Caenorhabditis elegans: one gene and its partners. The protein of the gene in region 4 purifies or fractionates together with the protein of the main gene of each other region. This does not show direct contact. Each region holds a gene or a part of one and is shown on either strand. Other genes may lie near its edges. The genes, in order: trm-1, R04E5.9, tag-72 and metl-1.

Region 1 (7,411 bases), on a different chromosome or scaffold from region 4:
CCATACATTGCCACATTCGTATCCCCGGTTTCTCCATTAAATACTCCAAATCCAAAAACTCCGAGGCGGTAATTGAATGTCACAACTACAATATTTCTGTCCTGACCCACAAAATTGTTTATAAAAATTTCAGGTTTAAATGCGGAACCCGATTCGCAAACAAGTCGTCCACCATGTACCACAATCATTACGGAGCAGTTTTTCTGGAATATTGAAAAAAAAATTGAGAGAGAAGTTTTGCGTTTGTCCACTAAAATAGACGGTACCGTTCTCACGGTGCATCAAATGTTTTCTAATCGTAACCGCTGAAAATATATATGCGCCTTGAGAAGTACAGTAACCCCTTTTTCCTCGTTATTACTAGAACCGTATAGTGGTTACTGTACTATTAAAGGGACACACGCCTTCTGGCGTAGTTCGTGGCGAGAGCATCATGTGAAAAATTGCAAAGACTGTATAATACTGACATTTTGCAAGCAATACTGGTTTGTGAACACATTTGCGTATAGACAATCCTCTGAAATTTCTCCAACAAATCCATTTTTGAAAGTTTTCCTCCAATAACTCATACACGCAGGCTTATAATCCTTTGTCTCTAGAACTCCTTCCCATGATTTCAGAAGACGTGGTTTCCGGAATCGAAGTTCTCCAATTGGAGGTTCAACGTATGGTATGCCCAAAAATACGGTAGCAGTTTGATTTCCAAACGGCGAATAAGTAGCATTCAAGATTTTCCCTTCGATTGTTCCAGTTCTGAACAAAACAAATCAAGAGTTTTAGTCACACTGTTGCAATATATTTCGATTCTCAATGCGAAAGTACGGTATCCGGTCTTGCAGCGACGAATGAAACATTTCCAACTAAACAAACACCAAGACTTGCGCCTTTAAAAGGTACAATATTTTCAATTTGCAGTTTTCTTCGTTATTTCTTTTATTCTCATACTTTTTTCAGCGTTCCAGTTCTGCCTTCAAATAGATAAACGGAAAAAGGAGAATACCATGCAAATACCGTACTCTCTAAAGGCGCACACCAGTTTGTACAGACTTTCTTCAAAAATATATCATTCGTGGCGAGACCCGGCCCTGTATTTTTGCTTTAAAATCGGAAAAACTGAACAAACTCACGATAACTGAATTCTTGTAGAAATAGATAAATGTATCAGAACTGCGAAGTATAAATATTGTAAAATCATTCTCTGATGATCGATTAAACAGAGCCAACCGCTCTCATTTCTGGGAAATATGTTATGAAAACGATAAGAGATGGCACAGTGATAAGATAAATCAATTCTCTTTGGCTGATGAATTACTAATGTGGGAATCCCTTTGGAATCTAATGTTAATCGATTTTTCCTCAATCTGAAAATAAGTAGAAGTGCGCTAAATAAGAAGAGGATATATTTATCCAAACTGCAACAACAAAAAACACAACAATATAACTTGAAAAATAAAATACGCTCATAAAAAAACAATTTTAAAAATTAAAAATTATTCCTTGTGCTCGGTCAATTGAAATCCTGCCTTCGTCGAGTTCACTGATCCTTTTGCTTTCTGGCGAGGGCCCCAATTCTTCCCTTTATTGCATTGGAACCGTACAAGGTTCTCTTTCTTGGCCTGTTCGATGGCTCCTGGGTGAAGAGTGAAGTTGACTGTGTTGGTGATGGGTTGTCCGAGAATGTGATATCCTGCTGATTCTTTGGCCAGACGCTTCTCGCGATCCACACTTGTGTCTTTAGCCTGGAAAAAACATTTATTTGTGAATCGTATACTGTTTTTATGAGACTTACAACTTGTCTATAAATATCCCATAGCAAGTGCATCGGAGCATTTGTTTTGATTGCACGGGGATTACAGTGAGATCCAGAAACTTTGAAACCGGCATTTAAAATCGCAGATCTCACACTTTGAGATTTTGGAACGGAAACTTTCACAACATTCGCCATTTGGTTGTGCTCATAATATAAAACATCATCCAGTTCTTCATTGACCATCGTAAGAACACCTTGAAGACGTCCGTGAGTTCCAAGTCTTTCAGCTTCAGGAGTAGATTTCAGACGTTCCAGAAGGGAAGTGACGAACGGTTTGCTGTGAATTGGAGCAAGATAAATTGGACCAATTTGGTGGAGTGGAAGTAAGCAATGGATGCATCGATTGCCTGGACCAGAGATTGAATGACGGACTGTTGGAATTGAATATTTGCTTTGTTGATTTCCTTCTCCTCGTTTAAGCAGTACTAATGGCTCCATTGAATGACATCCAGAGCATACAAGCACAGTTCCGACTTTCCTAAAAATATAATTTAATGTTAACTAATTAAAGGAGAACTAATGGATTTACGGTCTTGATTTTGAACCAATGTCGGTTCAAAAATTCGGGAAAATGAGCTGGTTTTAATTAAAACCTGTAGTTTTGCCAACTTTTCCTTTCGCAGTGGTTGTCAATTAACCTTTACTTGATTATTATCATCTATTGCATAATTTCATCGTTAATCTCGTTACTCTATAAATTTATGCACTTTTTAAGTCGATAGGTATCAAATAATGATATTGGTTACCTATCGGCTTTAAATATCCATTAATTAATAAAATAATGTGAGATATAGTAAAAGTTAATTTCCAACAGCTTTGAAACAGAAAAATTGACAAAATTGGAGATTTTAGCTAAAAATAGTTGTTTTTTTCACAATTTTGAAAATTTTCTTCATTAAATTTAAATCTAGCTATTTTGAAACTTAAATTTTCTGTCAACTCACGTTCCACTCTGCTTCGCTTGAAAAGCTCCTGTGTGTACCCTGACAAAAACTCGAACGTAAAAATCAACGGAAATCGACACCAATGGCTCAATATATCTTGTATAACGATTGGCTGCAGAATCAATTGCTCGAAGTAAAATCCGAAGTCCAACTTCATGACAACACTTCATTCTAGTGGTAACTGCATCGTATTTGTTGTAGCATGCTTCTGGAGTGTTTCCGCATAAAACAGCCATGTCAGTGCACGTAACCATCAGAATTCCACGATCAGCGACACATTGGACTGCCGAGTCTAGAAATGTGGAAGCAGTTCCATATGGATCCAGGTCAACAGCATGGAATCGTTTATCAATACCGCGATGTTCCATCATTGTCATACTGAAATTAATTTTAGATTAAAGTTCGAATCAAGAAAAACTAATTTACACTGCATCTCCGAAATGTGCTTCAACTATATCCTCGACTCCATTCAATTTCACATTTTCTTGAATTGAAGCAACTGCGTTATCGGAGAAATCATTTGCCATAATGAATCCCACATTGGGAACTTCTTTCGAAAAACGCAATGCTCGCAGTCCCGAAGCAGAAAGCGCATCGAGAATTCGGATTTTGCCATCTTCATTGATAGCCAATTTATTTTTCTTTTTCGGAGGTTCTTCTTCTGTTTTCAATTGCTTCTGTTCCTCTGCCCATTTTTGATGATCAGCAGAAAATTGACGAAGAACTGTTACTCTGAAAGATAATTTCCTTAAAATACTGAGATTCAGACACAAACTCACGTCAAATCGCGATTAAACTCCTGAACTGGATTATAGAAAACTGGTCCATGGAAACCTACTTTTGCCTGTCCTAAAATAAAATGTTTAATTTGTTTTTAATTCTATTTGAACTCAAAACAAACCTTCCTGAATAACTGTCACTTCTTCTTTATCTTCGCTTTTTATTGCCGAATCTCCAGATGAATTGACATTCTCGGTCATTTTATACCGCGAAATTTGCTAAAAACTGAGATTTTTTTAAGATTAAATGTGCAGTGCTTGCCTTTCTACTTTTTATTTGCAAAATTCGGGAAAAAATACTGCGCGAAGGAAGAATAAAAAACGTTTTTGTCCTTGATTAAATTAAAGCGAATACGAATTAGAGAACTCCGAGAGGACAACACGAGAAAAGTTGTGATTGGAGCGCACTTGCGTTTCTTCCCTTTTCGCAAAAAACATTTTTCTGCACACATTTTTAGACGTTTCTTTCGTCAGAAAACCATTTTAATTGAGGCGGAATACACAAATTTCAGTGTCATGGAGGTAGAAAAAGCAGAAAAATGCTTGACTCCTCGAATAAATGTAAGCTACTCCTGAAATTCGCTGAAATTAAAATTATTTAACTTTCAGAATTTTTGGGAAAGAAAGAAAAATTACTTCGAGATTGCTGCTGTTCAATCAAGTGTTGGGAAAGTTAATCCTGATTTGCCGGTAGGAGAATATTACAATACATTCATAATTTTATATTTTTCAGGATGCACTCCTGGCTCCGTTGATCACAGTTTTGGATCCATGTACTATTCATTCCTCAATTCACGCAAAAGTCGATTGGAATCTAGTAGCATCACGACTAAAACGACTCAATATTTTGAGTAGGCAAACTCGCGGAGTTGCATCTCTAAATAGGCCATCGGGATCGCAAAACTTAGATGGGGCATCAGATATTGAAGGATCATCGGATGGAGGTTCATCTCCAGCGTTTCATCAAAGAAAACGAGGAAATAGCCGAGGAATAGAAGGAGCCGGAGAACCAATGGAAGTAGAAATGACTGAAGAAATGATGTTGAAAAAAGATAAAGACACATTTATCGATGAAATCGTGGATTTAGTTAGGGATATTCAAAAACGTATGTAACTACGTAGGATTCGAATTTCACAAATTAGATATATCTGCTGCATAGGTGGAAATGAACTGAATTGCATATAAAGAATACAATAAGCCTGAAAAAACTCGTGGCACTGAATGTTCCAATTGGGAAATTTGTTTCCGGCAATTCGGCAAAATTAAATACCTAGCTGTAATAGGTAATCTTGAAGAATTGCCGCTCACCCATAGTTCCAAGGAAAATGCGAAATGATTATTTGAATGAAATCCAAATAACTTCCAGACAACGACGCATCAATGTCTTCACAACCAACATGGATCGATCGATTATCAGTGGAAAAGATATCAAATCAAATATTGATGCTTCAGAATTATCTTCCATCGCTACTCACAGTCGAAGAAATTATAAATGCACTTCTCTTTGAACACGGACCAGATGTCATTGAAAATGTTGGTTCATTTTCTCGCGTTGTCATGAAAAATTCAAAATATTTCAGCTTATAATCGAAACGCCTGAAAATTTGGTCACAATTGTCAATATTCTGACTAACAATCCAACACCAGGAAATCGTACAAGATATAGAAATTTGGTTATAGGAAAAGTAAGCTTTCACATTAAATTAAAAAAACTATTTCAAGTTTTAAAGTAGATATTTTCAGATCGTCGAACTATATCCATACTTTGCACGCCGAATAATCGAAAAATATTCCGAAAAACGATCGGATTGTGTTTTTGCATGCAGATTAGCTGTTGATCATTTGAATGATAGACAGTTTTTAGAATTCATGGAACCACTTTTGACAGATAAAGAAACCATAATATACAAAATGGTAATTCGAAGTTCCAATCGACAAGTTCTTCCACTAATAATTGCACGTCTTCTCAATATGGCAGATACTGTTATTTCGCCACGTCCCGAATCCACATCATTTTCTGAAATGGGAACTGCTCCATGGTGCACTCGTCTTTCATATTGTCTCGTGGAACTTATGAACTCTGCATTGGAACCTTGGACTGAACTAGAAATTATTACTGTCACTAGATTTTTGTTTAGAACTGATGCAAATCCATCATCCTCAATATTACACTCTGCTGATTCAATATCTGGTATGGATGAAGCCATGGATTTGAGTTTTCGTGAAGAAGCTCACTGTTCACAAGATTCTGTTGTTCCTGATTCGGATCCTGAATCAACACAATCGGCTCAAAGACCAATACCGGTTTCCCAAAGGACTGCTGTAGAGCCCAGTCCATTCGGAGATGCTCATGAATGTTTTGTACTGTCTGCGCTGCTCGCCGTCCCGTTTTTCACACAGTAATCTAGAAAAGATGTTAGTTTTTAATTAATTAAAATTTATCCAGATATCCGCCTAATCAAACGGGAGCAGTTCAACCACCAGATCGAGCTGTTGAAAATTGGCTTGATGTGTCAAGAAGGAGAGTTCTGGCAGGGGAAAAGGTATCGTTCGGCTACAGCTCTACAAGATCTTGCTCTAAATATTCAATTATGGAGGAGATTATGTCGAATTAAAAAAAATTAGAAAAAGAGTCGAAAAACGAATATTTATATACATAAAAATCGGAAAAAATGTTTAAAAAGTTAACATAGAAAAAACATTTTCAAAAACCTATTATTTTAATATGAAAAGACATATTTTAACGCTATTTTCAGATTAATCGAAATTTTTTAGAGGTGCAGTAGGGTCAAAACAAATATTTTGCTCTAAATTATAGAAAATTAAACATTCTAAATTATTTTAACAATTATATTAGGTAATTAACCTGTTCCCTGTCTTTTAAATCATATGATTTTTCAAAATTACCTTTTATGAAAAATCAGAAGACACCCTTTTAAAAAACTTAATTATAAATAAAAATTTTCCGATTTTTTCAGGTCACATCAGCATTTGGATCGCATCTGATATATGTTCACTCGTGTATAATGTCTTCTCGAATCGAAGAGCTTTCGGAGTTTGCAAGTTATGGAATGAAACAAAAAGTTGAGCTTGTTAATCGTCAGAATCACGTTCTTGTACTGAAAAACACTTTCACATCACGTTGCATGACAGAAATGGAGGTTGCTAAGCGGTAAAACCTAGAGTTTGGAATTTACAGCACAATTTCAACTTTCAGAAGTATTTGCCAACTTGTCACAAAATGCTCTAATGGCGAGAGCTCGTACGCTCTTCGAACAATTCATGCACTTCAAGCTGCGGGGGTTTATAAGACATTCCAGATAAATATTAGGTCATGGTTGGAAGAACAATTGGATAATATAACACTGCCTGCTTCGCAACTTTTAGCAGAAGTTGTTGATGGATTTGCACATAGTTCTGCTCATTCCAAAGGAAAAGGTCTGAGTGAGGAATTTATTAAGGTTAGAATAAGATTTTGATTTTTACAAAAAAAATTACTGAATTTCAGAACACCTTCACTGGCGATGTATTCGATTCTCGTACGATTCCGAAACGGCTTTTCGTCCTATTTTACATTTGCTCGTACAGGGAAGCAGCTCAACGTCATGATGCGTCTCTTCGAAATTCGGTAATTAAATTTGAAATTGGAGTAGCGCAATTTTGGTCATTTCCCTAATACACTCAAAATGATTTTACAAAGGTTGAGTTGGTTCAAAATTTTGAAAATACCCATTTTGGTAAATTCACAGATTTTGCCAATTTGTAAGTGTTAGAGAAACCAAAAATTAATTTTTTCAAGTTTCGTGTTTAATTTGGACTCATATTCGGTCTTCAACAACAAACTCCGCATAATAAAGAACTAAAAACAACTTATCTC
Region 2 (9,769 bases), on a different chromosome or scaffold from region 4:
TTTCATAAAATGATATAAAGATAGAAGTTTTGATACATAGAAGATGAGTCTTTTTTTAAATAAAACTATTCTGGGTATCATACTTAACAAAATAAACAATTTTGCTGCTCAATTAGTCAGAGAAAATTGCAGCCTAGTCAAAGGAACATCAAGTTATTAACTCACGCTTTGTGCCGTTTGCATCTTCTCCATTCATGTAGAAACGGTATCCGGATAGCAGATGAGACCGAACTTCAAAATCATCAAATCGGAAGGTTTTTGCTGCATTTGCAACTACTCGCAAAACTTGCTTGTAATCTTCTCGTTCGAGATGCCTGCAAAATCCATATATCCTTTCTACTCCTTCATTGTAAAACCTACAGCTTTTTCAGCTCTGTGCTTGCAAGACGCTCGGCATATTTTCCGTACTCGCGACTTCCCCACTGAAAAATTGTAAGTTTGTAACTAGAATTCATAACCGTTTAACTTACGTCGTCGTTATTTCTTCCAGGTCCCTGACTTATGGAGCGGCGACCGTAAGGAGCCTGAAAAAATATTTTGTTAAACCAGTAAACTGGAAAAATTGTTTATATAATGTTCTCAAATTTCAGTTACGAAAACTCAATGATATCAAAAAGAGAACCTACCGGACGATGAACCATTGGACGACGTGCTCTCAATGCTCTCCGATCGTGACTGTTTAGACGTGGTGGTGGTGGTGGAATAGGCGACGGAGGAGTCCTCGGCGGATTCCGTGGCTCCGGAGACGGAGGAGTTCTCGGTGGTCTGCGTTGCGGTGATGGTGGAGTCATCGGTGGTCTCCGTGGTGGAGGGCTTCTTGGCGGGGGTGTCCGCGGAACTCTTGGTGGCGGTGGGGGTGGCGGCGACGATCCCCCAGCTCTTGATTTCCTGGGTGGTGGAGGAGGCGGTGGACTTGCTTCATGATCACCGTGTTGTGGTGCCGGCACTTGGTGGCCTTCCTGACCAGGAACAGGGTATCCAGGATATGCATAGGGGTGTGGATGCTGAAGATGATGTGGATGTGCAGGCGGCGGCTGGTGAGGATGTTGATATGGATATGGAGGCGGATAACCCCCGTACGTGTGAGCAATGGAAGCCGCATGAGCCATGTAGTTGTGATTATAATGCATGGCCTGGAAGTTTGATGGCGGTACCAAGTTAGCTATGTTTTCGGGGTAGGGATGATGATGATTCTCTGGATAATGATATTGATTGTTTCTTGGCGGGTTGAAATATCCACCGGACGATGAGCCCGGTCTGTCGTGTCCGTGCATTTTCACCTGAAATGAACTTTATTTATGATATGTACATATTTTAAAGCATTCAGAGAGTTTGAGAAAATTAAAAAAGGAGTATAAATGGTACACTCGAAAATTGAGCAAGAAATACATTCAGTATTTGGAACAATGAAGTATACACGTAGGTATCAGTAAGAGATGAGAAGAGTTGACGGGAGAGAAAGACAAATTTTGCTGTCGATAAAAAAGGCGGAGCAAAGCAATGCGTTGCCATGAGATACCCACTGTGAGCGCACGCATCGTGGCCATTGATCCGTGAAAAGGGAGAAGAACGAGAGTTCTGACCGAGTCACGCCGCGTGCAGCGACGACGAGCCCTTCTCATCTCTCTATTCATCTTACACACGGATCACGTTGGCCCCGCCGCACTCACCAGCTCACCAAAACCGGCAGTCTGAAAAGGAGCGAACAGAGAGGGGAGGCGCAGACAGGAAAATAAAAGAGTGTGCGTGTGAGCGGCGATCGAGTAGAGAAAATGAGTAGAAGAAAAACAAGATGGGCGCGAGTCGGTCGCATTAGAGGAGGGGGGGGGGGGGGCGACGGCGGCAACATCGACGGCACAGGGCCTCGTGTTGGCGCAGCACGGCGTCGAAGACGTGGTGTGCATTCAAGGAAATGAGCGTGGGCACAGGGTATATATGCTGTTTTTGTTTGTGTGTGTGTGTGTGTGTGTGTGCAATGAAAAAGACTATGCGTAGAGGGCGGACCAGTCGTGTTTCACGCCTCACATCATCTCGAAGTTACCTGAAAATCGAGGGAACATTCTAAAAATAGAAGGCTTAAGAAGCAAACCAAACACTGCGTCGTTCGTTTGGAAGGATTTTGTTTTTGGTGAACGACTTTCTTGCGGTATCAGTTGGAGCAAGAACTTTTTCCTGAGCGAAAAGGATTTGATCAAGAATGTTCGACGGCCTGAAAGGGGATTATTGTTATAATTTAGCATGATAAAAATTTGGCATCTCACGTAGGCTTTGCAGGCGCAGGAGGTGGAGTGGGAACTTTATCTGCACTTGGGACCTCATCGACCACAATGACATCATCGCTGAAATAATTAAATGTTATGACATGTTTGGGGTAAGCATGATTTTGGCTTTTAGAATAAAGATTCACAAAAAAATCGGTGCTTCCCTCGACAATTATTTTTCTGTAGCAAGTATTGTAATTGTGCTTTAATGATTAAAATTGTGTAGATAAGAGAAGACTGACGATACATAGCTCTCAAAAACGGTAAGACGTAAAAGCCGAAAATTCGTGAATTTCTTTTTCCATCAAAGAAAGGAACCCGGCCTTCATTCCGAGATGACAAACTTTTTGGTGGCAAAGGTTCTTTGGGGGCAAAGTATCCAAGGAGACAAAGGATCCAGTAGACAAACTGGGGTGTATCTTGGGGGGCATATCTTTGGTGACAACCTTTTTTTCAACTAGATTTTTATATGTATTTTTCAACTAATTTTTGTTCAAATTTTTCTGGAATAAGTTTTTTAATGCAATTTTCAATCGATTATCGGTTATAATTCCCTCACAATTGAATGTTTGAACGATGGTCTTTTGGGAAAAGCTGTAAAACGTCCAACTAACTTGGAATATCGTGAGGCTCTTCCTGATGGTCTGATCCTTCAGCTCCGAAGGATCACATGGGTACCTTCTGATGTTCTGATCCTTCAGATAAGAAGGATCGTAAGGGTACCTCCTGATGGTCAATTTTTTCAAATTTTTTTTCAAATTTTGTCAAAAATCCATATGATCCGTCGAAGCTGAAGGATCAGAACATCAGGCAGAGCCTCATGTTCTTTTGGAGCTGAAGGATCAGAACATCAGGAAGAGCCTCATGATCCTTTGGATCTGAAGGATCAGACCATCAGGAGGTACCCTTACGATCCTTCTTATCTGAAGGATCAGATCATCAGAAGGTACCCATGTGATCCTTCGGATCGGAAGGATCAGAACATCAGGAAGAGCCTCGTGATCCTTTGGAGCTGAAGTATCAGACCATCAGGAGGTACCCTTACGATCCTTCTTATCTGAAGGATCAGGCCATCAGGAAGAGCCTCACGATATTCCAAGTTAGTTGGACGTTTTACAGCTTTTCCCAAAAGACCATCGTTCATACATTCAATTGTGAGGGAATTATAACCGATAATCGATTGAAAATTGCATTAAAAAACTTATTCCAGAAAAATTTGAACAAAAATTAGTTGAAAAATACATATAAAAATCTAGTTGAAAAAAAGGTTGTCACCAAAGATATGCCCCCCAAGACACACCCCAGTTTGTCTACTGGATCCTTTGTCTCCTTGGATACTTTGCCCCCAAAGAACCTTTGCCACCAAAAAGTTTGTCATCTCGGAATGAAGGCCAAGGAACCCCGTATTCCCTGTTTTCTGATGCACTTTGTGAATACGATCTGATCATAACATTTTTTTGAAAAAAGTTGTTTAGTTAATTGAATTGGAACTTTATCAATCAGATTGAGCTTGACATTCAGACCAGGGAAGGACAGCTAATGTTTTGGCTTATTCCAAACATTGCATTTATCAGCAAGGTTTTCTGTTATTCTAATAAATTCTATATGAGAATTAAAGAAGAATTCTTGTGCAACATTCATCAAGTAACAACTTTTAAAAATTTACGTTTTTTTTTTCAAAATTCAGGATCTGATATTCAGACCTCGAATTTTCCTAAACCCGGAAGTGATGTAATATATAATTTCAGAGCGCTTGCCACGTCACATTGAATTATAGGCTCACGAAAAGAAAAACGTCACGAAATATCGGTGTTTGAGATTGATGGATACCATTCATCATTTGCGTGCTCCCAATTTTCTGTGCGCTAAAGCTCACGTCATTTCATTTCAGGCGATTGCCTACGAATGTTAAATAAATGGTTGTGTTCCAACTCTACTATCTTCATGAATTTGTAATGAGACAGGGACTGGAGTTGTGCTGCGAAAAACAATCGCCCGCTATAAACTGAAACTGCGTATAGGTGTAAACAATTTTTTATCATCGTTTGGCTATTAACAGTCCGCAAATATTAACAATTAATTTAAATAAGCTCAAAAAGAGAGAGAATAAAAGAGAGAGAAAATTTCTGGGTTTTTTCTCAACAAGCTCAAAGTAATACTACAAACTAAAATATTGAAACAGATATCTTGAACCGTTATTCCTTCTTTGAGCTTTTTTTTCTCAATAAACCTCAAAGAAGTTTTCTATTCGTCAGTTAAATATATTTTTCCAGGCCACCTTTTAATGTTGAAAAGGATGTATCTGCAGAAAACCTATAAGTTCGAGAGTTATGAAAAATGCAACATTGTTCACAGAAAGTCATCATACTCCGAATCACAGAAATAGAAAAATTAGTAGGCGATCAGAATATGTGAACGCTAAGCTATGATTTTATTAGTCATATTCAAAATTAAAAAATACTGCGTAATTTTAAGCTATATTTAAACTCTTGTGGCGCTTCTTCTGACAGCAGAATTTTAAATGCTTACAGATTAACATGATTATGTAGACATAAAAATTTCTGTAGTAATTTTATTTTCTGTATTTTGAGTGATTGTAAAAATTTGAAAACAAAAAATACATGTGACAGCAATCGAAAATAGATTCGTGCTGCTTTCCTTTTTCTCGTGAAATCAGCCGTCACGATGTAGTAATTTTTGAGTGAAACTTCGATGAAGAATATAATTGAAGTCAATTGCAGAATATATGTATGTTTCGTAGGATTTCAGTTTTCTTTTTGACAAAAAGTTAAATTGTGCAGGAAGTTGTATCTTTGCTGCATTGCTAAGCTAAACGTTTTTCTTTTGAATTGGAATTAACTTTCGATAAACAGTACGAGCCCCTCCACATATAATTTTTCGGAAAACTGTTTTCTTCGATACATTTCCAGTAGTTATGGAAAGGTTTCTGCTTCTCGTTTACCAGAAGATAAAATTAACTTCTGTTAAACAAGCATAGTTTTTTAGAAGCAGGACATTGGGTGATAGTAGAATGACGACCGATTCAGAAGTCGAAGTGTCGGTAAATTCAAGTTTCAACTAGATTGCGTCACTGTTCAAATAGTGCAATGCCTTGCACGGTATGAGCATCGCCAGAAAAATGCGACTGACTACCAGAACCACAGTGCAGCAAGCTTGAACATAATGTCTTTATGTATTAGCCCTCAACAATTTTTCGAGTAGGAAATGACCGAACTACAAGCGTGTTACTGCCCTTCGAAAAGCTGATATCTGATCACCGTACCCTAACGTTGGACGACACTGCTCATATGCGATTGGAAGAAAACCAGTGAAAAATTGATTCCGATATGATTTCGGGAGCATGCGACGCATTTGGCTTTGGAGTTCAATAATTCAAGTTTTTAATGTCACATTTCTATTATCTCTAGCATTACTGATTTTTTTTTTGAGAAACTACTTTATAAATTCTCAAAAACTTACTTTTGGCGAATATGAAGCTTTTGTTCCTTTTCTCGCCCGTATCGCTTGACTCTTCCAATACTTTCCCCTTTGTCTAACGATTTTGATGTGGTTTTCCGTCGTCGTTTAGTTCCTTTCCTTCGCTTTGTTGCTCCTGTCTTTGACTTTCGAGTCTTCCTTTTCGTTTTCCTGCCTTGTTTTCTCACGATCTTTGATTTTCTCTGCCGAGCAGCAATTCTGAATAAAAAAAAGTAAAAAAAGAGCTAACTTTCCTGGTGTTCTTACTTTGGAAGTTCTGGCAGATCTCCATCTGGTTCATCGTCGCCCAGCACATGCGCATCTTCCTCCTCGAAAATCGGTTCTTCTTTTTTGATGAACTCTCTGAAAGAAATAAGAAATGTTAATTTGAAAATTTAAACATTAGAGGAAAAACCTACTTCATACTCTCGGCGTCTCCACTACTCGAGCCAAAAATCGATGCAGGGTACGCACATACACACACGCACCGCAGGAACACAGAAAATAGTTGGAAGCGACCGCGTTGCGTCCCTCTCCCTGCGCGTCGCGTGTTCAGACACAACGAAGACACACTCTCTTTTTCACACACTCTCTCGCCAATGCCCTATAAACCCTCGCTTTCTGCCACACACTCACATTTACAAAAAAACAGAGAGGACGACGGGACGCGCGCGCACGTGAGATAAGGCGGACAGAAAAAGGAAAAATTGAGAATGGCGAGCTGGCGATGAAAGCAAGATGTTGACGTGAGGGTTGATGAATTTTTGATACGAAAACAATAATGATCGGGATGAAGTAGGGGACTGGCATTTTTTGTCCCGAGAAGATGTATTCTGGGCACTTTTCATTAAATTTTTCTTCCTTAAACGAACATGACAAACGAATATTGATGAGAAAACTTCTAGAGCATTATTTAAATTACTTTTTCAGCGTAAAAGAAAAAAATTGCAATTCCCGCGTTCATAGGACAACAAACCTTCAGCGTAGACACGTCTACTGCCCAAAAATGTCATCAAGAAAATAAGGGATATCAAAAATGATGATAGAACTGGAAGATCGAAATAGTCTAAAAAATGAAAGTTATTCGCTGTTCGTCATGCCAAATGAACATGAAATGTTGTGACAAAATTACAAAAAAATATAAGGCTGTATTTTTTTTAATATCCCGAAATTTTATTTCAGTGGAAGTTATTGGATTTGCTTTGAATAAGTAGTCACATCATTAATGAACGTTCAACTAAAATAAAAAAACACCAATACTCATAGATTATGCTTTAAAAAAAAGGAGAAACCAAAAAGTTACTTTCCTATCCCAAAACAAAAGATATCTCCTATGAACCGGCAAAAAGCATTACTGGAGAAAAAACGAATCATATTTTAAACAAAAATTTCTGACTGGATGCAAAATTGATAAAACACTTCGAAACCTGTCTTTAGCCTGTCACATGCAAATTTTGATTCTAGACACCCATAAACTGAAAGAGCCCCAAAACAAGCATTCATGTCACATAGACATGAACCACCTAGATTGTTATCAGTGCCCCCTACTGATACGCACTTTCTTCATTTTCACCACTCGTTTATTCATTATCGCCACCACACTATACCACGTCTAATTTGATGATCATTAAAGTTTTTCTACGTTTACTTTTGCTCTGTGCACACATTGTATGCATAGACGGAAAACTGGTGAGAAATTTCGTAAAGGAAAACAAAAAAACATTGATGGAAATTCAGGAAATACGGCCAGTGGTATCAGGAGTTCGGATTGAAAGCGATGTAGACGCGTCAGGATTTTTAGGATATGGGTAAGAAATGAGGAACCTTCTAATACACAGTACAACTTGCACTAAAGTAATTACAAGTATTTCATACGGAATGCCATCTTTTTTATTGATTGAAAGGACTACATTGTTCAATTAAATTCAATTGCATGTTTTGACATAAACGTGAAGCTTGTATATTGTCATAATGGCATTTCATCTGGGTGTTTACATTACTTTAGAATAAAGCTTCATTAGAGAAAATTAGATAATGCACTAAATACAATGGGATAAAAAATACCAGACGAGGGTGTACGACAAAATGTAACAAAATTTCAGCGATGCTGGAGAGTTATTGGTGGAGGCAAACACTGAAGTGGATCTTGTGATTTTTGGTCATGGACTAGAAAATGTATTTATCAGCCTATACCAACTTTTCCACATTCTGATTTCAGGTTGAAATGGTGACATTTACTGATTCTGTCTGCGTGACATCCGAGTTTAATGTATCAGAAAGCACCTTCTACATTCATAAAGATATGAAAATAGTCTTTAAATATGCTTTCGTAGCGTAAGGCAATTATTTTGAACTCGTTAATGCTAGTTGTAAATTACAGGTGGCCCCAGCCATGGAGAATTTGTCTAAAATCAGAGTGTCATGGACTAATACAAATCGATGACGATAGAACCTGGATTCAAGCTGTCCAGAGTACTCATGAAACTTTCATGCCTGTTTGGGCTCAGGTAAACAACCATGAGATGGTTATTAGCATTTTTCCTTAAAATGCCAAATTTCAATTATAGATCAGTGTTGCAAATGTTTTAACGTCTACAATGTTGGTATATAAATATATTGAACACAATTTAAATAAAAAACAAAGCAAATTATTTTTTTCCCGACGACTGGTACTTGTGTATTATACCCCCGCCATTAAAAAAATAATTTTTTAACTTATAAATTAAAAACCTGTGAAATTCTTTTGTATTTTTATGCTTAGGAAAACACCATTCCTAAGGTTTACGAAGAAAATGGGCATCACGTTTAATTTTTACGGATAAATTAATTGGAAATTTGATTAATTTTTAAAATGGCGGGGGTATAATACACAAGTACCCGACGACTTCTAAAAAATTGATAAAAACAGAGCTTTCAGTGCTTTTTGATTAGAAATCACTTTTACCAATATTTTTGAAAATGTTTTGGCCACCCCATAAGCCGTAGTCCACCTTCAAATGCTTTCGAATTAAAAAATTGTAAAACTCTTACCTTCGTTAAACTAAAATATTTCAGTGCGCAATTTTATGCCTACTGTTCTCCATATCAGCACTGTGTTCCGGATTGACATTGGGACTAATGGCTTTGACACCGCAAGAACTTAGTATCTTGATGAAATCAGGTACTGTTTTATTATTTATCAAAGACCAAATTTTATGTGAATTTGCAGGATCACAAAGAGAGAAAAAGCATGCGGCAGCAATTTACCCAATTAGATGTCATGGTAATCGGTTACTGTGCACTGTTATTATTATGAATGTTGTGAGTTTTGTTAGATTTAACGTCAACTTATTTTTTTTATTCAAAATTTAAGATTGTCAACACTGGAATTACACTTCTTTTCGATGATTTGGCAGAAGGTCTGATAGCTTTTGTAGCTTCCACAGTTGGCATTGTTGTTTTTGGAGAAATTCTACCGCAGAGCATATGTGTGAAGTTAGATTAATCCAACATCTTTTTAAACATGATTCCACTGATTTTAATAGTATAATTTATAAAAAAACATTTAAAGTTGTTCAATGTACCGGGAAAAGGTTTTCAAACTTATCCCTATATCGATTTTAATCAACTTACCTGCGGGAAACTAATTTTCATTCTATTCTGCAGATTTTGGTCGCCTCGCAAAGATTTGTTAAGTTTTGTACATTCCCAGCAGATAGAAAATTACTAGTTTTCCTAATTCAGTTACCTACCAATTTGAAAATTGTGCTAAAAAAATCTCAAATCTAAAATCCAAGAACCCTTACTGTCCCGTTTGATGGAAAATTTGCAAAATTTTAGGTATGGATTGGCAGTGGGTGCTAACACAATTTTCATCACCAAGTTCTTCATGTTTCTCTTATTCCCAATAACGTGGCCACTTGGAAAAGTAAAAATTCCAGAAACAAGAAACCAGAAACAATAAACCAAGTTTTTCGCAGATTCTCGACAAATATGCTGGTGTTGACATTGATGTAGTGAATAGATCGAGGATGGTAGAAATGCTCAAAATG
Region 3 (7,174 bases), on a different chromosome or scaffold from region 4:
TGGGCCGAATCGGAGATTCCACCGGGGACCTCTCGTACCCACTGGACCATTCGGCTGGGATTTTTAACTTCTTTAATTTAATTTACTAGGTTTTTTTTGGGCGCACTGAACGATGTTCAGTTTTAACTTTTAAAGTTAAAATAACAATTAATTTCAGAATAATGAATTAGAAACATGGAAAGAACAAGAAGCGAATGCTCGAGAAGCACAGAAATTGGCTCAAATGACTTGCGAAGAAGTGACCAAAAATACTCTGGAAAATTTGAGAATATTTGAGAGAAACTCGAAAAAATCAATTGGATTAGACACAAGAGATATGGTTTTATTGAATAAGAAAATGACTTTAGTGACTGCAGGTACAATGGGATTACTGTATTGGAAAATATTAATTTTTTAAATTTCAGAGCTTGAAAAAGACTTCTTTCCTTGGATATTTCATCGAGCCGAGAGGCTTTTCAAAAATCGATTGGCTCGGAGTCAATTAGATCATAGTAAGCAATTCTTTGATTATAAAAACTATTGGAAATTTTTATATGTTACTGACCTCAGAAATGCGAGAAGTAAAGGCACATACTCTTTTAGATAGCCTCATTTCATAAAATAACGGTCGTGTCGAGACCGATTACCGTATTCCAGTCTCATGGCAATCGCATAATATTTCACAAAATAATTTGACTTTAATAAAAAATGTCATACTTTAAATTTCAGGCATGATGAACGAGATTCGGCATCGGAGAGAACTTGCAAAACGAAGATTAATTAGTATGAATTCTAATGCTTTTTAGTTTTTTTTTCCACTTTTTAAAATAATCTCCATGTCGCAATTTTCTGAGGCGCGTACTTAAAGGCGCACAGATTCATAGGGTCTTGCCACGAAAAAGTTTATGGTAGAAATGTCAATTGTATTTTTATTCTAAAAATTTTGAAAATCTCCACGAAATCAAGAAAAATCGATAAAAACCACGAAATTTGCTCACGGAAATCCATAATAAAAGACACAAAACATTTCAAAATTGATACAATAAACTTTTTCCCGTGGCGAAACCAATCCGAACAAATCCGTGCTCCTTTAGGAACGGTTTTCAGAAAACGTGACTAACTATAATATTTTTAGTTTCTATTTCCGCTAGGATTTTAAGTAATTATATTCAATTAATAAATTTGTCACATTATTTTTTATCCTCTTCAAAAACGTGAATCACAGATTCAATGCATAGATAACATTTTTTTCAAAATTCGAAACATTTCTCAACTTTACAATTTATGCTCCACAAAACATTTGAAGAATTGAAAATGTTCAGTAAGTTTTGGAAAGATTGCTTTATGAATAACAATGGTGTTTCCAGGTAATTTCATCTTCAGCTTTTTCATTGCTTTATTCGTTTCATCTCTTCTATTCTTGTGTGGAAAAAGTAGAATTACTGTAGGTTCAGGATATTTTCAATAGCTTATATATTTCATATGTTTTTAAGTCGCGATATGATAAAAAATCAAGATCCAAGAAGCAATCCAAGAAACGCTCGAACTCCTTCTCGAAAAAGTTTAACAAACCAAAGGTCGTCGGTTGTCAGCCGACAAGAGAAGATGAAGGAATCGAACCAGAGACTCGGACCAAGACGAACACTGCTAGTGATGAAAATGTTCAGAAAGATCCAAGTTTGAAGAAACGTAAGGAATTTAGACAGTTTCGGATTTTTCAACTCTCGCTACGAACAAGGCGTGTGCCGTTAAAAAGTACAGTAACCCACTTCCCAACTTTCTTCGATGTTTCCATTTGGGAAGTGGGTTACTGTACATTTTAAAGGCGCAAACCTTTTTGCGCGGTCTTGATTTCAAACAATTTTGTTCGTGGCGAGACCCTGAAAAATCTTGAAACTATATATATTTCTTTTCCCATTTAGGCGGAAGTTCTCGATCTCTGAAGCAGCCACCAAAAGTTCTGGCACCGCCGGTTCGTTATTCCCTGTTTTTGAGATTATAATTTAAATTTCATGTTGTAGCTTTGCCTTACGAAGCAATGCAATTCGGAGACTAAGAAAATGCGTGTTGTTCGTGAAAGATCTCCGCCGAAGACCTCAAGCACTGATGAATCGGATAAGGAATCGTTTGACACTTCGAACAGAGTTGCCAAGGTAGGAAAGAGAGAATAGTTGCATATTTAAAAGTTAACATTTTCAGAAGAAGAAGGAGTACCTTCCTCCGCTCGATACTACTCAAACAGAAGAGGATGACGATATCAAATCTTGAACTTTTGAACTAGAATTTGAATATGACAATGTATTTTTTTAATGAACTTTTGAGATGAACAATAAATAGCAAAATGAATGATAGAACATAATGATAAAATAATATTAAAATTGAAATATTGAGATCAACTGAAATATTCCTAATTTGTCTGAGCTTCTTGATGCTCACAATCTTCCTGATCTTCTTTCTCTTCGCTTTCAGTAACTTCTTTCTGCTCTGATTCTGATTCAGCAACTGGCTTCGTGGTAGCTGGTTCTTCTTCTGTTTTCTCAGCTTCAGACTTCTTCTTTCGGAAACCAAACACCAAATACATACAGATAGCTTCCCATTCAGATTTTGAAAGTGTTCCCATCGTCTTGATTCTCTCATCTTCTGGAAATGCGTCGAGTTTAGCTTTTGCCTCCAGGTACTCGTCGTCGGATTTTCCACTGAGCTTCTCATTTGGATACGTTTCAAGACCTGTCATTGATTCGAGAAGTCGGCGTCCTGGTTCCAACCATTTGTTGATTGCTTCAGCGAAATTATGCACGAAAAGAAGCTCCATGTCAAGCTCTTCGAGCAGGCTGAAATTTTGAATTATATGAATTCATTAATATAGCTTCTGATCAGAGGATTTTGAGATATGCGGCCTGTGACGTTCTGTACTTTTAAAAAATTTTCTCTGATCTCATCGTTGTGTCGAAGCTTTTTTTGGAAATTCATATAGAAAAATAGCCGATCGGCATTTTCACCCGCCATATTTCGACGTTCGTGGTAGCTTTTGAGCAAATGTTTTATTTTTTAATTAAAAGTAAAGTTACCGTCAGAAAGTACAGATATTTCTCTATTTTTTTATATAAAATTCCAAAAAACATTCCGACAATGTGCCAAAATTATTATAAGTGAAGAAAACTTACTGTTTGACAAGTGGAAAATATGCCAGAAACTCAGGACAGTTGACTTGCTCATCGAGTGAAAAATGGAACTTGGCTCCGAATAGTGGAACTTTTCCTTCAGCCAACTCTTCCACGTTTTCATATGTGATTTTACACACCTCGTTTGCAAATTGACCATTTTCTCCGTTACGCATCGACCAACTGAAAAATAGTGGATAAATAAACGTTTCTATTCGAAATAATTACGATGGTTTTTAAGAAAAATTTGTATAAATTTTGCTTACACAATTCTATCAGCATCTGGAAGTGTTCCGATAAAAACTCCTCCGGGTTTCAACATTCCTACGGCGTTTTTTAGAAATATTCTGGCAGAAGCTTCATCTACAAACGAGTAATGCAAGGCGAACTGACAGCTGACCAAATCAAATGGATCTTTGTTTTCAATACGATCCTCCAGATTCTCCTGAAATTTTTGCGCTTTTTATTGCTATTTCTCAGTTTTTACTGCTAAATTCAGGATGAAAACTCACTTTTGTGCAATCAGCGACAATGAATTGAACAGTGAAAATGTTGTTCTTTTTATATCCGAACATTTGTTTATATCGTTCTTCTGCTTGTTGGATAGAAACATCGGCGACATCTGAACCGTAGCATTATATATTTTTAAAAGATTCCAGCTGTTCATACCTGCCATTACAACATCTTTTGCTCCAGCTATGTCCCATTTTTTGAGATCTCCTCCTTTTCCACATGCTAAATCTAAGACTCTTGGATTATTAACGCCGTTATCGTTAACACGCTGTTTCGCATCATCTGGAAAAAACAACAGTTTTTTTCTCTAACTCAATTTTCGCAAAATAACTTTTTTATTTCAAACAGTAGAATATTTACAATTATTTTATAAATTTAATATCTTACTGATAAGTTGGCTCTTCACCCAGTTATTCATATTTCTCATAAAGAAAATACGACTTTCTTTCCTGCCTTCGATGCCAACCTGTAGAACTTTGTTGTAGTGACTGGCCACTTCTGATGAGCTCATTTTGTTGCTGAAAAATTGGATTTGAAAATAATAACTTTATGTGCTTTTTTAACAAGGAAATTAAAATTACAGCGCTGAGTAAATATCAAAAAAATATATTCGAATTCGAACATTTTTCGCTAGTGGCCGTGGCCGAACGCGCTGTCAAACTTAGTCCTTCATGTATGTACTCCTCGTGGACTAATCCATTATTTATAAATTTTAATATATTTTTTGCAGTGTAAAACTGATATTTATTAGTCAATCTTGGCACAATTTTTTTTGTTTTATAAGACAATCGATTTTTGAATGTGCGCTAACATCCAAAGAGCAATACATCGCTCCAACTGAACGCTGTAATGGTCCAATCGATATTGAGAACGCTGCAAATGTCTAGGTCGGCTCTCCCGCGTGCCCGTCTATATTTTTATTCGTCATTTTCTTTCTTAAACATTCTGTTGTATTCTTGTTCTCTTTCTCCTCTCTATTAACTCTTCCTTCCTTTTCATCTGTTAATTTTTTCAGTTGTAATAATGTCTAGTGGATTCGTCAGCACTTCGGAGCTCGATGAAGAGAAAAAAGCCCGTCAAGAAGCTTGGGAAAAGATTAGAAAACCGACTGACGCTACTTGTAAGATTTTTTTATTTTTTGTACAGGCAACGCAATTGATTTTCAGTGGTTCCAGAACCGGAGTACTGCAATAAGACATTGTTCGAGCAATTAAAAAATAATAAAGATGCAAAACAATTGGAAATCGACGAAGCTAAGAAGCTCAGTGAGTTTTATAAAAATAATATTATTTTTAAAGAAGTTTTTTCCAGAGAATATGGTCCGAGGTATCGATGAGGATGAAAGCGTTTTTCTGTCGGAACTAGATTCCACAAAGCGTGTGGTTAAAATGCGGATGAAAAGAGAAGAGCAAGAACTTATTAAAGAGCTTGCCGTCACTCAACATCTTGCCGCAAATCAGCCATCCTCGTCTCGTTTCATTCTTAAACCGTCGACATCAAAAGTTCTCGGACCCCCGAAATCAAAGCAAGCCGCATTTTTGAGCACTGCGATCAAGAGAAAGTCAACGTAAGTATTCAAAGCGAATTTCCTCATTTAATTATGATATTTTAGAAGCACTGAAGAGAAAAAACAGGAAGATGTTGTGTCTTCAAAAGTTTCAAAACCTGAACCTGTGATCAAGCAAATTGGAGCACTGCAGGCTTTGTGTGAATATGATCCATCGAGTGATTCAGAAAGCGATGCCTCATCTGATGATGAGCCTGAAACTCTGTCACTTCTTCAAACATCGAAGTCGGCGGCACAAGGAGGCTGCGAATGATTTAATTCTTGTTTTATCCGAATATATTTTACTGTCCGAATCCCTCAGCTTCACCGCTTTTCCTGAATGCATCCAATACCTCTTTCATCATGTTCAATTTTTCTTTTTAAAATTCAAATTTTATTAATTACTTTTATTTTTCTCCCGCGCCTAATCCCACTAAGCTTTGCGCTCCCTTCTTTTTGTACAATACCTGAAAATCCTGCGTTTTCCTACTCATTTCTTCGCCGCATTGGCGTAGAAATGTAAAAAATACGGCATTGAACCCCCTGAATTTCCTCTCACAACCTTTAACTTTCAATGTTTATTCCCGTCAAGTTGTTATGTTAGTGGATAAATTATTGAAATAATGAACAGGGAAAATCTGTGTGCAGATGCTTGCACTTCAGAAAACAGGAAATTTGGAAATTGGCTGCATGGGAGAAAGAGAACAGAAGGGCCCGTAGGAATTGGAGAGACAGGGGGAGAATAGTTAATTGGAGGGTAACAGGAAACGGAAGAAACAATTAATTTAACAATTGAGCTTCAAGTTTTAGGAGATCCACGTGGAATTCTTTCTAGTGATGCTCCAGGATTGCTTCAATAGTGAACGATTTGATCGGAGCTCTCGGAGCACAATTGAAATTCCATAAAGCTGTTGGAAAGATGGGAGGTGATGGATCAGAACCTGGTGAACCTTCCTCATCTGATGAATCTCCGTCCTCAACCTGCAGCCCCATATGACGGCGAACTTTTCGTTGTGCACGACGACGTCTGAAGTCTCCACGTTCGAAATCTTTGACACATGCAGGATGGACTGCCCAGTAATGACCCTGAAACATTTGAATTTTTAAACAACTGATGAAAAGGTTCTTGGCGAGACCCATGCGCGAAAATTCTCATATTTAGATGACTACATAATAACTGATGAGTAATCAGAGTGTCCTTATTTTTACTTAACCTCTGAAAGCCGTGAAAATACTTGGTCTTCAAAAATCGACATCAACAGTAGTATACTTCCTATAGAAAATACTGAAACAAACCTTCCCATTTGCAGCTCTACCGGCTTTTACAAAACAATCATTCAATGATAAATTGTGTCTGATTGAATTCCTCCAGCCAGCTCCACGACTTCTGAAGTACGGATATTCATTCATTATCCACTCGTATACCTGAAAATTAGAATTTCTATCGATCTAAAGACAAGCATCCTCTTTATATTAAAAAAAAATTATCATAATTGCATCTATATTTGCAAAAACTCAAAAAAACCAAGATATGAACGGTTTCTGTTTTTATTTCGAAAGTTTTATCAAAAAGGGTTTTACCAAGCGGAAAAAATCATAATAAAGCTCCGCCCATACATTGGTTGTCCTTTTTTGCATAAAACTTTTGCAAATATTTATTTATTCGAACTTTTCCATATATTTTTAATATTCACACCAATATCATCATGAATATATTTTTTCATAGATTCGTAGTCTTTGGAGTTATAAATATACTTTTTGGTTAATTAGGTTCTTGTTGTGGTACTGTTGGGGTACTGTACGAGTACTGTAGCTAAATTTCCAAATTATTTAATGGCGTCATAGGAGAACTTAATTTGAGCTGATTTGGGAATTCCACATATTCACGGAATAAAATTTATGATTTCTACAATTTTCTTGGCTAGTGAATCTTCTAATTAATTCAGCTACAAAAACATGAAACTTCTCCTGAGCT
Region 4 (6,783 bases):
GAGAAGCTTGTAGCTGAAAGTTTGAAATTTTTTCGGATTCATACCTACTTTATTTAAAAAATTCTATGAAATGACCTAAATTAGTGTCAAAATATAGAAATCACTTGATTTATCAGAAAATAACATTTATTCCAGCTGAAACAATGGATAAAAACCTCAAAAATTACAAAACAATTTTTTAGTACTTTCTCCAATGTTTTAGCTGAAATTAATAGTTTTAAGATAAATTTAAATCAAGTGATTTTTTATATTTTGACACTAGAAAATGCCTGATAAAAACCTACATCAACTTCGGCGCAGTCCGTTTCCTCTTCACATGCTTCAACATAGAATATCTCCCTGTTTCAGGATTTGGTCGTTCAATTGTGTAATTTAATGAAAGTATTCTCTGTCCCATATCATCGTCTTCACCTCCCCACGCCCAGAATTGATTTGAATATCCATTAACTGCACGATAATCTGCCATTGATACTGCTAAAACGCCTCCGACAATCTCCTTGTACCACAATTGATATCCCAGATTACTGACAAAAGCTCCAAGATGACGTGGACCAGGTGGGCACGAATACGGGTTCCGATCGTCTTGTGGGAACATGTCGACGTCGTGGAAGACTACACAATCGACTCCAAGGCTTTCTGCGAAGATAAATGCAGCATTCATAATTCGGCCTTTGTTGAACAAGTCGTTTCCATACTGAAAATTTAATATTTTTATTTAAGCATTGCTTTAAAAAAATTCTTACTTGTTCAGTAACAATGAATCGAAAATCTAGCCGCTGTCGTTGAAGTATTGGAATCAAAAAGTCGATCAATCGAGTCAAGTGAGTTTGCCTTTCTCGATATGGAATTATCACTGCGATTTTATCGCGAGCCTGACAATCATCCGGTTTCCATGAGCCACCTGGGCCAAGTTCTGGATGAATTGCGTGTACTTCTCCTTCTTGAAGATTTTGAATCAAAAGTGTGGCTTGTGGAAGAGCGCCTTGAAGATCTGGTATTTTCTCAACTATTGGACAAGATCCGTCCTCTTCGGCGCTGAAAAAATAAAAAAAACGTTTAGTTTAGATTCACAATAATCACTGAAAAAACTTACATTTTAACCGGTGGCTTTGGTTTTGTGACGGCTTCTTCCATATTTAAAAATGTTAGCGTCTGTCGAGCAATTTCCAATTCAACAGGATCCTTTATATCGTGTGTTCTTTCAGCGACTCCGCTGTTTTTTGATTGCTGTACATTGACATTGACAGATCGAACTTGCTCTTCAGTCGCTGCTATCCTGGAGACTATTTAATATTTAGTATCTCACATTTATAAAAATATATCAAAAACAAACCTTCTTTCATCATTTAATGTAGAATTTCTGAGTAGCATTACATAGATTAGTGTGGAGGCGGCAACGAAAATGATAAGTCGTTTCGGAGAAAAACTACGTATTATGCAGTGTGAGGTCCTCATTTTAAGTAGCTTTTACCGATAAATCAATGCATTTGAATTCTGAAAATTGGAAATTACTTTTTGAGGGGATCAGAAAAGAAATCCGGCTGTAAATAGAGTAAATAGGTGTTGAGGGGAAAGTTATGTGACAGAATAAGAGAAAAAGAACGAATGCGTGGCTGTGAGAAGTATATTCAGAACAACTGCAGTGGTTGTCCGGTCTTTTTTGTTGTAAGTGAAGCAACGGGAATTGTTGTGAAGAAGGCGAGAGACAATGCGAAACCTAGGAGACGCCGAGAACTCCCCAACACGAAAGTTGCGCACGAAAATTGATTGCTGGCGCAAATCGAGTTACGCTTGGCGCACTTCACGATCTTCTCATTTTTTTATTTTAATTTTTTTCCTTTTATAACTTTAAAGTTAACTTTCAGTAAATATAACTTTTAAATTATTAAAATTTAACTTTTTAAAATTAAATTGCGCATTTTTCAACTACCTCAATGTATAATTTACGTAAATATTTACATAATTTACTCGTGATTTTCAGCAAAAACATGGACATAACTCCTGCGCTGACAGAAATGGAATTGGATCACAAACCTACTTGCGAGACAGTTCCAGGGTTGCCTCAAAAGAAGCATTATCGGTTAGTTTCTGAGAAAACTAAAGTTTAATATTTAATAAAAAAGGATTTCAGGCAGCGAGCTCACTCGAATCCTCATTCTGATCATGACATTGAATATCCACTGACTCCAAACCAGTGAGTAAAATTAAAGTGTTACCTTTTGTTAAATTTTGACAATTTTTAGTATGGATTGGACCAAATATTACGGCGATTACACAAAAGGACGTCAAGTGGATTTTGCAGACATCGGATGTGGTTATGGAGGTCTTTTGATGAGATTGTCACCTAAATATCCTGATAATCTGATGATCGGTATGGAAATTCGTGTGAAAGTGTCGGATTACGTAAACGAAAAAATCCAAGCACTTCGAAAGCATCACGCTGAAGCTGGTCACTACAGAAATGTAGCCGTTCTCCGATCAAATGCCATGAAATACATGCCAAATTATTTCCACAAAGGACAACTTTCCAAGATGTTCTTCCTTTTCCCAGATCCACATTTCAAGAATAAGAAGCACAAATGGCGGATCATCACTCCAACACTGCTCTCCGAATACGCTTATGTGCTTCGTGAAGGAGGTATGAGAGTGACCTTGATCGTACCAGTGATCACAAGTGCAGATAATGGAATAGGAATAGTTTCAATGATAAGAATAGCGTATCAACGGTTGAAAATGTGTCTTTGTGTCCCTAATTCTCGCCATCAAACAATATTTATCATCTAACCGCGTGGCCGTATGCTGCTGCGAGACATTTCATCACCGAACATTTTTCTTGACTTTCGATAGATCTCAGAAAACTTTCCAATCTCTGAAGCTTTAATTGTTTCAAATTTGCACGTAGGCTTCTATCTTCAATTCCCTGCCCAATAAAATTAACAATCCGTTCCATGTGTGCCACGTGAGAACTATAGCTAAGTAGAAACCTGTTCCTTTCTCTGTAGCTCTGCGCACCTACAAGTGCATTTTCCCGCTGTGCCTATTGATCTTTGTTATAACTTTTATTTTTTCAGGTATTATCTACACAATCACTGATGTCAAGGATCTACACGAATGGATGGTCAAGCATCTCAGCGAGCATCCACTTTTCGAACGGCTGACTGAAGAAGAAATGAAAAAAGATCCGATTGTGGAAATGCTCTTTGAAAGTACTGAAGAAGGACAAAAAGTGACTCGAAATGACGGAGGAAAGTGGCCAGCAATCTTCAGGCGACTTCCGAACCCGGCCTTATAATCCCCTCTGCCTACTTCCAACATTCATCAATTTTTCACGAGACTCTCCCTCCTCCTCCGAGGTTGTTATTTAACTATTTTGTTGATTTTGTGTTTTTGTCTGTTAAATGAAATCCAATTCTTCTAATAGTCTGATTTTTTGAACTTATTTCCATCGAGTTTTCAAACTCTACTTATATATCTATTAAATTTAATCAATTATTAAATTTTTAAATCGCATTTTCAGCAGATACTCAGTACTGGGCAAAATGGGTGGCGGTGGCGAAGATGAGTACGAATCACTTCCAACACACAGCGTCCCGGTAAGAATTTTAATTAATTAAAAGAGATTGACAAAATTGAAGATTTCGGCAAAAATTAACCGTTTTCTTCAAAAAATACGTGTTTTTTTTTGAGAAGTTCCATTACGAATTCGGCGCATTTTTATTAATTAAAATTTTTTTATTAAATTAATTTTCAATTAGTGTTTCCCATTCTATCACAATCTAAGATTCAGGTGCACTTGACAGCTGGAGCCCTGGCCGGAGCCGTTGAGCATTGTGTCATGTTTCCATTCGATTCGGTCAAAACGAGAATGCAATCACTTTGTCCGTGCCCTGAAACGAAATGTCCAACTCCTGTACATTCACTGATGAGCATTGTTAAACGAGAAGGATGGCTTCGACCGCTACGTGGAGTTAATGCAGTTGCTGCAGGCTCAATGCCAGCTCACGCTCTATACTTCACAGTTTACGAGAAAATGAAGGGATATTTGACGGGAAACTCCGCGGGACACAGCAATACGTTAGCATATGGAGCTTCTGGAGTTGTTGCAACACTTATCCATGACGCTATCATGAATCCAGCAGAAGTAGTGAAGCAAAGAATGCAAATGGCTTTCTCTCCATACGGATCATCGTTGGAATGTGCTCGATGTGTTTATAATCGGGAAGGTGTGGCGGCTTTCTATAGATCATACACGACACAGCTGGCAATGAATGTTCCATTCCAAGCAATTCACTTTATGAGTTACGAATTCTGGCAGCACGTCCTGAATCCGGAGCATAAATACGATCCGAAATCACATTTAATTGCGGGAGGACTTGCCGGCGGATTGGCAGCTGCTTTAACGACTCCAATGGATTGTGTGAAAACCGTTTTGAATACGCAACAAGCTGCAGAAGCTGATCCAGCAAATAGGCGAATTTTCTTGCAGGTGAGTTTTTTTGAATTCTTCGCATTTTTTTGCTATAATTGAAAAGAATGAATTACAGGCTAGGTATCGTTATCGTGGAATTTCTGACGCCGTACGGACAATTTATTCTCAACGTGGACTATCCGGATTCTCGTGTGGATTACAAGCTAGGGTCATATTCCAGGTAATGTCTAAGATTTTTGATTTTCGTGCCAAAAAATACGGTAACCGGTCTCGAAGCGATCGATTGTTTTGAATGCAAAGGGTCTGCACCTTTAAGAATTACTGTAATTCCCAACTAACGGTTACAGCGAAAAAAATTTAGATTTTTCCAGAGAAAATCTAGAATTTCCGATTTTTTATTTTTTTGTAAAAATCGGAAAACATAAAATTTAGATTTTCTGGAAAAAAAAATGTTCAGAAAAAAAAAACACAAAAATTTAGTTGCCAAATTTTTATGATATTATTCCAATAATCAAGAAAAATTTCGAAATATCAGAAAATCACAATAACAAAAAATCGAAGAACAACTTTAGTAATCCTTAAAGGCGCACACTCTGTTAAATTTAAGAAAATCGGCCGCTTCGAGACCTGGTACAGTATCCGGGCAATAGAAAAACCTCAGTTTAATAATTTTTATTCCAGGTTCCTGCAACTGCTCTCTCCTGGTCCGTTTACGAGCTTTTCAAATTCATGTTGTCTTTCGAAGGAGGTCATTCGAGTTGATAATTTTGATCTTTTCTCCAATTTTTCCCCCAATTTTTCCTCTTTTCCAAGGTTTCTCCTCATATAGGTTAGGTTCAATAGTTCTCATTTCTTTTTGTTGTTTTTTTTTCATATTACTCTCAGTTTTCTATGTTTCTTTTTTTTACAAAACACGTGTCAAACCCGTGCAGATGCCTTCTAGATTCTTTTTGTTGTGTTCTGAAAGTTTTATCGAATCCAAATGATTTCTTTGACTATCAACCTATGCGAGCATTTCTAGTGGAAAAGTGTTCATAATAATTGTATCCCATCCCTCCCTCTCTCATCCCTTTATTATTCGAGACAAAAATTCAAATAAATACATAAAAAATTAGTGTTTCCACTGAATTTATATGTTCTTTGTGCTCCGTAGTTTCACACGGAAATTTGTATCTTGTGTCTATTTCTCTCTTATCTCTCATTTTCTCGTTTTTACTGCGATTGGCGCTGATGTTCAGGCGACCGCCTCGACTTCAACGTCACTTTCTTTCTCTTTCACAATTGTTAGTGATCTTATAATGTCCACGAGGCTGAAGATTTTTCGATTTTTGGCGGAAAATGAGCGAAAAATTCTAATTGTAAAATATATCAAATTCACAAAAATCGATTTTCTTTTCGATTTGACCTTTGAAAAAAAGTTATTTTTCTTCTTCTCACGTCCAAATTTTTTAATCAAAAAGATCAATCGATAGATTACGAAAAAAGGTTTTTAAATTTATTTCTACATATTTTACAATTTTCTTCGAAAAATGACCATCGCTGGATTTTGTGCTTTATCTCTCATTCAAGATCACTGTTGTTGGACAACGCCACAGCATTGTTCTGTTGCAGAGCTTGGTAATTTTGGCATAATTTGTTGATTGAACTGCCTCTTATTACACAGATTCACAATTTTCCGATTTTTTGGTCAAAGGTTACGTATCTGGTCTCAAAGCGACTGGTTTTCCAATAGAAAGAGTGTGCGCCTTTAAAGAGTACTGTAGTTGTCAACTCGCGAATTCTCTCATAAATTTTAAAAGATAGCACTTCTGAAAAAGTTATGAAAATTGATACAGTACTCCTTAAAGACGCATACTCTTTCCCAATAAAGCAAAGCGGTCGTTTCGAGACCCGATACTGTACTTTTATGCGAAAATCGCCAAATTTTGCATCTACCTTATGATAAATCGTATATATTTTTTTTCGCTTGAATCTTATTCCTTAAATTTTTTTTGTTAAATTAAATTTTCCAGGTACCATGCCTTGCCCAACTCAAGTCTCTGGTCGCTGTGTCGCCACGACTGCCGCCGTTCTCGCGGGAGGAGCTCTTATTGGATACCTTGTAAGTTCAAGCCTTCCCCTGATGTAGCCTCTTCAATTTCACTAATTAATTTCAGGTTGGTTACAAGTTCGGACAGCGTTCGGCTCGCTGCAACTACAAGATCCAGCTCGACTCGAATAAGATCGTCGACACCGTCGATATTGAGGATATTGGAGAGAAGAAGGCATTCTGCAGATGCTGGAAGAGCGAGAAGTGGCCATACTGTGACGGATCACATGGAAAGCACAACAAGGAGACTGGCGACAATGTTGGC

What was found.
Region 1: the proteins of metl-1 (region 4) and trm-1 fractionate together in Caenorhabditis elegans (co-fractionation; one large-scale study listed by BioGRID). This does not show direct contact.
Region 2: the proteins of metl-1 (region 4) and R04E5.9 fractionate together in Caenorhabditis elegans (co-fractionation; one large-scale study listed by BioGRID). This does not show direct contact.
Region 3: the proteins of metl-1 (region 4) and tag-72 fractionate together in Caenorhabditis elegans (co-fractionation; one large-scale study listed by BioGRID). This does not show direct contact.

Annotation. Positions count from the first base shown.
Region 1 is NC_003283.11:14,181,736-14,189,146, forward strand, and holds trm-1 (tRNA (guanine(26)-N(2))-dimethyltransferase), read right to left. Parts: upstream 3,875-7,411; 5' UTR 3,796-3,874; intron 3,753-3,795; 5' UTR 3,735-3,752; coding exon 3,656-3,734; intron 3,604-3,655; coding exon 3,534-3,603; intron 3,487-3,533; coding exon 3,181-3,486; intron 3,133-3,180; coding exon 2,755-3,132; intron 2,289-2,754; coding exon 1,790-2,288; intron 1,740-1,789; coding exon 1,491-1,739; 3' UTR 1,389-1,490; downstream 1-1,388. Other genes in the region: cest-2.3 (Carboxylesterase type B domain-containing protein), read right to left, coding at 2-203, 468-753, 1,128-1,195; ints-2 (INTegrator complex Subunit homolog), read left to right, coding at 4,050-4,094, 4,143-4,223, 4,267-4,639, 4,901-5,067, 5,115-5,219, 5,278-5,933, 5,981-6,077, 6,513-6,706 and 2 more. UniProt on the Caenorhabditis elegans protein: Dimethylates a single guanine residue at position 26 of most tRNAs using S-adenosyl-L-methionine as donor of the methyl groups.
Region 2 is NC_003284.9:8,804,832-8,814,600, forward strand, and holds R04E5.9 (uncharacterized protein), read right to left. Parts: upstream 6,312-9,769; 5' UTR 6,163-6,311; coding exon 6,158-6,162; intron 6,102-6,157; coding exon 6,006-6,101; intron 5,958-6,005; coding exon 5,742-5,957; intron 2,340-5,741; coding exon 2,262-2,339; intron 2,210-2,261; coding exon 2,090-2,209; intron 2,042-2,089; coding exon 2,038-2,041; 3' UTR 1,827-2,037; downstream 1-1,826. Other genes in the region: R04E5.8 (JmjC domain-containing protein), read right to left, coding at 166-314, 361-422, 471-524, 627-1,274; Metal transporter cnnm-2, read left to right, coding at 7,359-7,427, 7,476-7,546, 7,841-7,913, 7,957-8,072, 8,119-8,245, 8,793-8,898, 8,947-9,038, 9,091-9,212 and 2 more.
Region 3 is NC_003279.8:10,157,713-10,164,886, forward strand, and holds tag-72 (mRNA cap guanine-N(7) methyltransferase), read right to left. Parts: upstream 4,172-7,174; 5' UTR 4,165-4,171; coding exon 4,041-4,164; intron 3,936-4,040; coding exon 3,810-3,935; intron 3,763-3,809; coding exon 3,653-3,762; intron 3,586-3,652; coding exon 3,407-3,585; intron 3,324-3,406; coding exon 3,144-3,323; intron 2,811-3,143; coding exon 2,387-2,810; 3' UTR 2,270-2,386; downstream 1-2,269. Other genes in the region: F16C3.3 (TPX2 domain-containing protein), read left to right, coding at 158-356, 405-491, 709-785; F16C3.4 (uncharacterized protein), read left to right, coding at 1,294-1,300, 1,347-1,423, 1,473-1,668, 1,902-1,951, 2,001-2,132, 2,179-2,247; C25A1.1 (FAM192A/Fyv6 N-terminal domain-containing protein), read left to right, coding at 4,677-4,773, 4,820-4,918, 4,965-5,220, 5,266-5,473; fkh-10 (Fork-head domain-containing protein), read right to left, coding at 6,031-6,285, 6,496-6,624. UniProt on the Caenorhabditis elegans protein: mRNA-capping methyltransferase that methylates the N7 position of the added guanosine to the 5'-cap structure of mRNAs. Binds RNA containing 5'-terminal GpppC.
Region 4 is NC_003280.10:11,468,768-11,475,550, reverse strand, and holds metl-1 (tRNA (guanine-N(7)-)-methyltransferase), read left to right. Parts: upstream 1-1,975; 5' UTR 1,976-1,988; coding exon 1,989-2,080; intron 2,081-2,131; coding exon 2,132-2,194; intron 2,195-2,243; coding exon 2,244-2,638; intron 2,639-3,071; coding exon 3,072-3,292; 3' UTR 3,293-3,416; downstream 3,417-6,783. Other genes in the region: ngat-1 (Beta-1,4-N-acetylgalactosaminyltransferase), read right to left, coding at 1-13, 285-694, 744-1,035, 1,094-1,276, 1,334-1,455; slc-25A37 (Mitoferrin), read left to right, coding at 3,540-3,593, 3,782-4,486, 4,533-4,649, 5,111-5,191; cisd-1 (CDGSH iron-sulfur domain-containing protein 2 homologue), read left to right, coding at 5,959-6,046, 6,442-6,530, 6,586-6,783. UniProt on the Caenorhabditis elegans protein: Catalyzes the formation of N(7)-methylguanine at position 46 (m7G46) in tRNA.